Sus scrofa: one gene and its partner. The protein of the gene in region 1 binds, or shares a complex with, the protein of each later gene. Links are inferred from orthologs where the notes say so. Each region holds a gene or a part of one and is shown on either strand. Other genes may lie near its edges. The genes, in order: ATP2A1 and SLN.

Evidence for each region.
Region 2: the proteins of ATP2A1 (region 1) and SLN are in contact, whole or in part, in a crystal structure (PDB 3W5A), measured with the Oryctolagus cuniculus proteins. The link is inferred for Sus scrofa from reciprocal best matches to the Homo sapiens genes ATP2A1 and SLN. Residues at the interface, in XP_069919846.1 of Oryctolagus cuniculus: Phe88, Val89, Leu96, Ala100, Ile103, Val104, Trp107, Arg110, Asn111, Asn114, Arg324, Lys328, Trp794, Leu797, Gly801, Leu802, Thr805, Ala806, Phe809, Trp932, Ser936, Leu939, Leu943, Leu946, Ile947, Val950, Pro952, Leu953, Ile956; in NP_001075856.1 of Oryctolagus cuniculus: Met1, Glu2, Arg3, Ser4, Thr5, Arg6, Glu7, Leu8, Leu10, Asn11, Phe12, Val14, Val15, Thr18, Val19, Leu21, Ile22, Trp23, Leu25, Val26, Tyr29.

Annotation. Positions count from the first base shown.
Region 1 is NC_010445.4:18,548,015-18,551,824, forward strand, and holds part of ATP2A1 (sarcoplasmic/endoplasmic reticulum calcium ATPase 1), read left to right. Parts: 5' UTR 1-156; coding exon 157-274; intron 275-605; coding exon 606-623; intron 624-972; coding exon 973-1,055; intron 1,056-2,482; coding exon 2,483-2,587; intron 2,588-3,342; coding exon 3,343-3,481; intron 3,482-3,810. UniProt on the Homo sapiens protein: Key regulator of striated muscle performance by acting as the major Ca(2+) ATPase responsible for the reuptake of cytosolic Ca(2+) into the sarcoplasmic reticulum.
Region 2 is NC_010451.4:36,239,442-36,243,745, reverse strand, and holds the start of SLN (sarcolipin), read left to right. Parts: upstream 1-1,340; 5' UTR 1,341-1,497; intron 1,498-4,304. UniProt on the Homo sapiens protein: Reversibly inhibits the activity of ATP2A1/SERCA1 and ATP2A2/SERCA2 in sarcoplasmic reticulum by decreasing the apparent affinity of the ATPase for Ca(2+). Also inhibits the activity of ATP2A3/SERCA3.

The DNA of each region.
Region 1 (3,810 bases):
CTTCGTGGAGGGAAGAATAAGCTGGGGGGGGTAGGAGAGAGAGAGGAAGAAACCCAGACGGACAGGCAGGTGGACACACTGAGGAAGGCCCCCCACGCGTGAGGAAACCCCCCCAGAAGGAACAGACCGCCCCCTGGCCCCCAGGAAGGGAGCACCATGGAGGCTGCACACTCCAAGACCACAGAAGAATGTTTGGCCTATTTTGGGGTGAGCGAGACCACAGGCCTCACCCCGGACCAAGTTAAGCGGCATCTGGAGAAATACGGCCACAATGGTAAGTGTCCCTTGCAGGAGAGGCCGGTCGTGCCCTCCCGCATCTGCACAACACACACATGGACTCACACTCACACACCAGGGCCTTGCGCTCCAGGGGATCCTAGGGAGGAGACAGGTCATGGACCAATGACTGCAGGGGAGGGGAGGATACTGAGAAAACAGGGTCCCTGAGACCCAGAGATTGGAGAAGTTCTATGGATAACCTTGGTGAACCTCAGCTGCCCTTTTGGTGGCCTGATTCTCTTACCTTAGCCACAAAGTCCTGGGTGCGGGCGGCATTGCACTGAATGCCAAATGAATGTGTCCTTTTCTTCTTTCTCTCTGGGCAGAGCTCCCTGCTGAGGAAGGTAAGTTCCACCTCTTCCCCTCTGTGCCCCACTCCCTTCTTCCTGCCCTCTCCTTCTGACTCCTGGGACAAATGTTCCTCCCCAAAGGTTAGAGCCTGGCCCGGGGCAGAAGTTTCCGGGCACTTTCTCCTTGAGGCATCCAGCCCTTGAACAACTGCCCACTCCTTGGAGGAGCCTGTTTTTGGACTCCTGGCCTGTTCCCTCAGCCCTTTTCTCAGCATCAAATGGCCTGCCCATCACCACAGACCCTTTCTGCTCCAGGCTGGATCCCAGCCTGCACCCAGAGTCCCAGCCGGTCATCTGTTAGACCTTAACCCCGAGGGCTCCCTCCCCTTGCTTCTTCCCCCAGGGAAGTCCCTGTGGGAGCTGGTGATAGAGCAGTTTGAAGACCTCCTAGTGCGGATCCTTCTCCTGGCCGCCTGCATTTCCTTTGTAAGTGTGGGAGGGCCTCTGGGGGCTGGCTGGGGCTGTGGGTTGGGGGGATCTGGAGAGTCTGCTGGCGACCGGCTCCAAATCATGGGTTCCTCTAGTCCGAGCCTTCAGCATCCTATTCTCCAGACCAGAACCGAGAGAGGTGGGGTGACGCTGATTTGCATATTCCTCTGTCCTCCCCCACACCCCACAGGCAGGTTTTATTTTAAGCTTTAGGGTGTTCTCAGCCAAAACATTGAAGCTAAGCCGCCCCCGGAGCTTCAAGGGCTCCGAGGTCTCGGGTTACCCCCCTAAGCGCTCCGCGGCTGGGCTCCACGGCTCACACGCCGCCGCTGAGGTTCCCAGGCCACCACTGCTCCCGGCATGCCGCGGGACGCACAAACCGCTCCACCAATCCCTGAGCATCCTGACACCCCGGCCCCGCCCTCCTGGCGCTGATTGGTTGAAGCAAAGACTCCCTCCCAGAGGCGGGAAAAAGCGGCTGGTGCCAGGGTGACTCCAAAAGCACCTAATGGCCCAGACCCCTCATCTGTCTCTGAGCTTCGCCTCCCAACTCCCCCCATCGGGGCTGGAACTCCGGGATCCCCCTCCTCACCCACCTGACCTGACCTGACCCTTCCCCCTCACAGCCTCAGGGCCGCCCCCACCGCCCTCTTAAGGCCCTGGCACCTCTCCTGCCCTGGAGCTCCCCTCAGCACCCACCATCCCAGCATCCAGCCTGCATTTGAGAGTTTCTTCCTTAACATCTTAGTTCTCAAAGACAAGACTCTGGAGGCCCCAAAGTCCCCGTGTCCCCTGGTCTCTATAGTGGAGGCCCCGTGGGCCCCTGAGTACTAGCTGGCAGGGCCTCCCTTCTCCTTCTCAGATTTGCTCCTTGACATTTGCCTGGGGCTGTTGCCTGGCAGTGGCAACAGCTGGGGTGGGGTGTGTACAGGAGGCCCCGTAACACTATCCCCCCCTCCTGCTCCCTCTTGAAATTGGAGCTTCCCTGCCTCGTCTTGCTGTGGGGGAGGGCCATGGGTGGGCCCAGCGCCTGCAGGGACCACAGGGTCTTGCCTAGCGCGTTTTGGCTCCTGTGGGATGGATGTGGCTCAGGGGGCAGTTGGCCTGGGTGTCCCCGGAGCTTCGTTTACAAGCCAACTACTTGGTCAGGGAAACCTGAAAGCATTCCCAGCTAATCCCTGAGCTGTGCATGTCTGTGCCCGCCTGTGCCCGCTGAATATCAGCAACCGCCGGGCTCGTGTGAGTCTGGGCCATGGAGCGTGTCGGCCCTCAAAGCGACGTGGGGCGGCGGTGCTCCTGTGATGCCCCGTCCCATTTGCTCCTGTGCAGGTTCTCACCTCCATTTCTTCTCCTCACCCCTGTGGGGGGGGGGAAGAGTGTGGGGGGGCTTAATTACCCATTCTCCTCCCTTCCCTTGTTCCCAGGTGCTGGCCTGGTTTGAGGAAGGCGAAGAGACAGTCACTGCCTTTGTCGAGCCCTTTGTCATCCTCTTGATCCTCATTGCCAACGCCATTGTGGGAGTTTGGCAGGTTAGCTTTGACGCTGCCTCATTCCTTCACATCCTGACACTGAACACTGAACGTGAGGCCAGCCTCCGTCCCCGTCTCCTCCTCCTCCTCCTCCTCCATCACCTCCCCTGGGCTTGCCTTGTTCTCTGGTCCTTTTGCTCAGTTTGGAAAAGGAACAGAACATTGGAAGGACGGGGGGGGGGGGGGGACTGGTCCCTACTGTCACTTGCTGGCTGTACAACCCTGGGCAAGTTCCTTCATCTCTCTGAATCTCAGTTTCCTTGTCTATAAAATGAGGCTCATCATCCCGGCCCTCAGAATTGTGGTGACACGTAACAAGACAATGAGTGTGAACGTGCCCAGCCCTGTGTGTGGCCTATGGGAGGATTTCTGCAAATGCTAGTTTGATGTCCTTTTTTCTCTTACCTTATACCATCCTCTGCTTTTCCTATCCCCTGCTTTCTGATTTTTTTTAAATTCTCCTTCCAAACTCCTCTGCCTGTTCTAGGCTGTGAGTCAGTTTCCTGAACACACACATGCACACACACACCCCTTCATGTTGGGTCGGGGGTGGGGGGGGGATTGTCTTCTTCCCTGGGCCAGGAGCCAGGACTGCATAACCTGCCTCCTTCCCTGTGATGCCCCCACTTCCCCCGGGGACTCCGGTCCCTACTCTTCTGAACCTACACCACTTGCATCCTCCAGGACCAGTGCCCTCTCATCCCACCACCTCCCTTCCTCTGCCAACCCTCCTCTCCTCAACCCTGTCCCCCCAGGAGCGGAATGCAGAGAATGCCATTGAGGCTCTGAAGGAATATGAGCCCGAGATGGGGAAGGTCTACCGGGCTGACCGCAAGGCAGTACAAAGGATCAAGGCCCGAGACATTGTCCCCGGAGACATCGTGGAGGTGGCGGGTAAGTGATGGGGACGAGTGGTCCAGGATGGGTCCGAGGCCAAGAAGATGTGTATGTGGAGAGTGGGGGCTGGTTGGCCCTTGATCGTGGTGTCCAGAAGGTAGCCGGGATGGTGGACTTTCTGCTTCTCCTTCCCAGACTCCTCAGGAGGTCACCCCAGGGCACGGTGGCCAGAGCACCCCCCCTCTCCGTCAGCGTCTCAGCAGGAACAGCCAGTCCTGTCCCTGAAGCTGCAGGCAGACCCCCTGCTCCCCCTCCTCTCCCCGAGCACTTGCAGGCAACAGGTGGAACCCAGGCCCTGCCAATGGCCCCGTCTCCACCCCCACCCT
Region 2 (4,304 bases), on another chromosome or scaffold:
ATCTGTGCAGAGGGGGCTGCAGAGGAAGTAGTATCTGGCAGGCATGGTTGACACCCAAGGCAAGTAGTGGTGGTTCTTGGCAGATGGCAGTTGTTCACAGAGAAAGTAACAGTGATGTCCTGTTTTTGTGCTGTTCCTCAGTGGGAGTGGTTGATATCTAAGTGCCTGGTGAGTACTGTAACATCTAGCAAGAGGGCTAGGACAGAAGAAGAAAAAGTTAGCTTGTTAGCACAAAATGTGTGCCCCCATGTCTTCAAATATCTTCAGGCCAAAGATATAATTCAGGCCTCCTCTTCTGGCCCATACTGGCCAATGGGGGCAAGAACAAACAAAATACACGCTAAAGAGAGGAGGCCTAAACCACCTCTCCCAGATAAGCTGCCCAAATTCCCGGAATACTAGCCCCTGGCAACTCCACATTCACTTACTGTAAAAGTGTAAAAGGTTAGGTTACTGTAGAACAAGTGCTCGATTGCCCTCCGAGATAGCACATCCCTCATCCAAAAGGAAACTTAGCCTGTATCTTGCATCCAGTTAATCTTCTTCCACATTACTGCAACTAGGCACTTTTGTTTTCTCATTACCTTCACAGGCAGCAGAGAGAGATTTTCATGATTCTTCATGATTCTATTCTCTCTGCTTTAAATAGCTAAAGGCTTAAGCCAAACGAACTCGTTTACAGAGAACAAGCAATTTTGTCTTGTCTATATTATTCTTACTGAAATGGTAATTGTGTTATCCGACAGATTCTCAAGAGAGATTCAGTGAAAATACCCTTGATCAAATTCACCAAGGAACAGAATGTTTCAGGTGGGCGTGTCTGGCTAGAATCTCTCTGAGCTGTTCAGTAACAGCACATCAAAAGATTGCTGAATTTTTATTTCCCATCAGAAAAATAACAAAGCGAATCTGAAATCTGGGAGTGTTTTGAGGGCAGATGGTATTAGCTTAGTAGTAAACACATTTTTGGCTGCTGCTTTTTCCCCCCCTTTGGCAGCTATGTTTAATGGGCTGAGAGAAAGCTGTTTGCTTGCAGAATCTTATTATAGAGCAGAAATATACTTGTTCCAGAGAAGAGGAATTTAATTGGTTCCAAGTCAAATGATGTTAACAGGTGTCACCCCACCAATCCAGGACTTAAAATGGGTTATTATAAACAGGACTAATACGTATTTTTCTGGCTCTGACACCCACCTATTATGCAAGACTGCATGCCCCTGTAATGTTCCTCTGAATTATTTCTAGCAACTTTAGGGGGTGGTTGACATGTGCTCACGCACACGTACTGTCGGCTACCACATAGTGCCTGCCATTTTCTTGCCCTTTAGCTCAAGCTCCTCTCTGCTGCCATCTGCCACTAAGGCCTGCACAGCTTAATATAAACTACAAGGAAGTCTCGATCAGTATTTCTGCTTCTGCCAGGCTCCGTGACACTTCAATGGAAGGACATTACATTGCTGGTTCCATGGATGCACTGAGGTCCACAAGATGGCACAGGTAGACGGAGAATCTCTGCCCCTTTTAGTGCTCCATACCGTTGAGGTAAATTGTCAAAGAGTTGGGGAGTTTTTACCCATAGCGCTCTCTTCCTCTAGGATCCAGACCTCAAGCTTAGTGAAGTAGGATGGGTAGTGTGTGGGAGTGGTGCCATGGAATGTGCCTCTCAGATGTGACTGCACCGTACTTGAGGTGGACCCCAGCTGCTCTTCTCTGAAATCATAATCACGTTTGCATGGGGGGCCTTGCTTCCCTGGCAGCTGTCAGCCAGTAACGGAATTGCAGTCTAAGATGCTTCTACCCAACCTCCCTTCCTTTTTCCCTTGTCTCTTTCTCTTGCCATTTGATGACTGCAATGGAATAACTCTCTATTCTCCCTGTTGTTGACCACATGTGTCTTCTTGATCAAAACTCCCTTCAGAGTTTTCTCTCCCAGGTGATTTCTAGGTCCTTTTTATGAGTAGATTGGATGTTGACCTCAATTTCCCCCACTCTCGTTTGCCTGTCATGCTCAGCCGTTTGGGGATCTCAGGATAAGAAGTGATGTGAGCTCCTTGCTATGTATGCTCAAGCATCTATTATGATTCTTTACTAGTTCGATGCAGTTAGAGAAACAAAAGGAATATAAGAATTTATCCTTGCCTTTGAAATTTTTTTGGATGAAATATATTGTACTAATTAAACAGAAGAATTCACCATTAATAAAAGAAAACCTACAGGAAGGGAAGCATCCAAAGGGCAATCAAAAAGTTAGGCAAGTTTACTAGCTTTAAAATACATCAACACACTGCCTTTGAAATTAAGGTTAGTTAGTAAGCCAAAAATCACACATGTGCCACAAGGACTTAAAAATATAGATAATAATCATTAATTTTTCAAGGACGTGGATAGCACTTTAAGGAATATGGTTTCCTCTTTCCCTGGGCTTGTACTCCTGTGCTTGGGATAATGGAAGAGCATAGCAGAAAGCTGTTTCTTTCTTTCTGAGCAGCTCCATGTCCCGTTGAATGTGAAGATGTGAAGGTGAGAGAGGCACCGTAATTATCAGACTCATTGCTGTGATGTGTTAAGAGCTTATCGCCTTTCATTGAGGCCTTGCTGAATTCTCCCATTGGGTCAGAGACTAGTAAAATTCATGGTCTGACATAAGGTCTTCACTTTTTGCTTCCAAAGTAAAAAGATTGATGGAAATTGGGAGTAAATTAAACAAGTTAATTTAGCTCTTAATTAAGCATAAGAACACAGCATTAATTTTCAAAGGATATAATATTTTACACTTAGGAATGTATATGATGGTATGGATTGGGTGTCAATACCAATATCAATGTGAATGTTGTTTTCTTAACATTTTTGACCTTTGGCTAAATTGTAGATTAATAAGCATAGAAATAAGATCAAGGATTGTTTAGTATGTCCTCCTATTGATGGGAAGGTCAGCACCTTGAAAGAAAGTTGATATGTAATGTTAAGTCATGCGAATTACAGAAAATATCAGCAGAATTAAGTAAGGTTAATTTAAAGAGAGAAATTTTCTTTGGCAGCAAGGTTTGAAATCTCATTATTCCAGCTTTTTAAATGAGAACAATAGTGTTGATTTTTTTTTTTTTTAATGGACTCACAGATCCTCAGTGTTAAACTCTGCTTTAAGCCTTTGAATAGTTGTCATGTGACTTTGGGTGGCTTGCATATTTTTCAGGGAAGGGTTAGGTCAAACTAATGATGAGCTGAATTCTTAGTGTTATCACACTCTCTCATGGCATCACAGGATAAACCACTAATATTAAGCTGCTTCTGAAGTCTCTATCTGGGAATTTATGAATGTGCTGGGCACAATAGTCCCTGGTATAATGTTGGATAAACTTAAATGGGACAGCCAAACAGAAAAACTAAGCTAACTCAAGAATAAGCAGTAGGATTATCTTCAAGTTACATTGAAATTGACCAGTTCAACTAAATTGACAGTTAGTAAGCTGTTTTGTGATATGTTAACATTTCCCCATTGTATTTAATATTTAATTTTTTGATGGGGGCAGCCTGCAGCATGCAGAAGTTCCTGAGCCAGGGATGGAACTTGCACCACAGCAGTAACCAGAGCCACAAGAGTAACAACACTGGATCCTTAACCCACTGAGTCACCAGAGAACTCCTATTTTTTTTTTTTTTTTCTTTTTTGGCTGCTGCATGGTATATGGAGTTCCTGGGCCAGGGATCAGATCCAAGCCACAGCTGTGACATAAGCCACAGCTATGGCAATGCTGGTGGATCCTTAACCTGGTGTGCTGGGCTGAGGATCGAACCTGCATCCCAGGGCTCCCAAGATGCTGCTGATCCTATTGTGCCCCAGTGGGAACTCCCAGGGAACTCTTATTTAACATTTAAAATATTGTGGAGCTAATTCCTATTCCAATATATACAAAATAAATGCTTTCCCATAAATCCAATACCAATACATGGTACAGTATGAATAATTTCATTCTATAAGAATCAAAAAAGATAAAGGTTTTTCAAGTATCAGATTCTTTTACCAAAATGAACTTGTGAATTTGAGATTGTACCTATGGAACCTCAAACATGAATAAAAAGTGATATAAAGTTTTTTTGTTTTTTGGGGTTTTTTTGCTTTTGGGTGGTGATATTAATGGTAATTTAAAATATCTTTATACTTTTATATTTTCAAATTTTTAGAATAAATATATAACTTTTTAATTGGACAAAAAATAATTTTGAGTGGTTATAAAAAGGGATAGGAATAGCTTAATAAGTAGGAGAATATTCCTAGCCTTTGAAACAATCTGGCAAAGACTTGG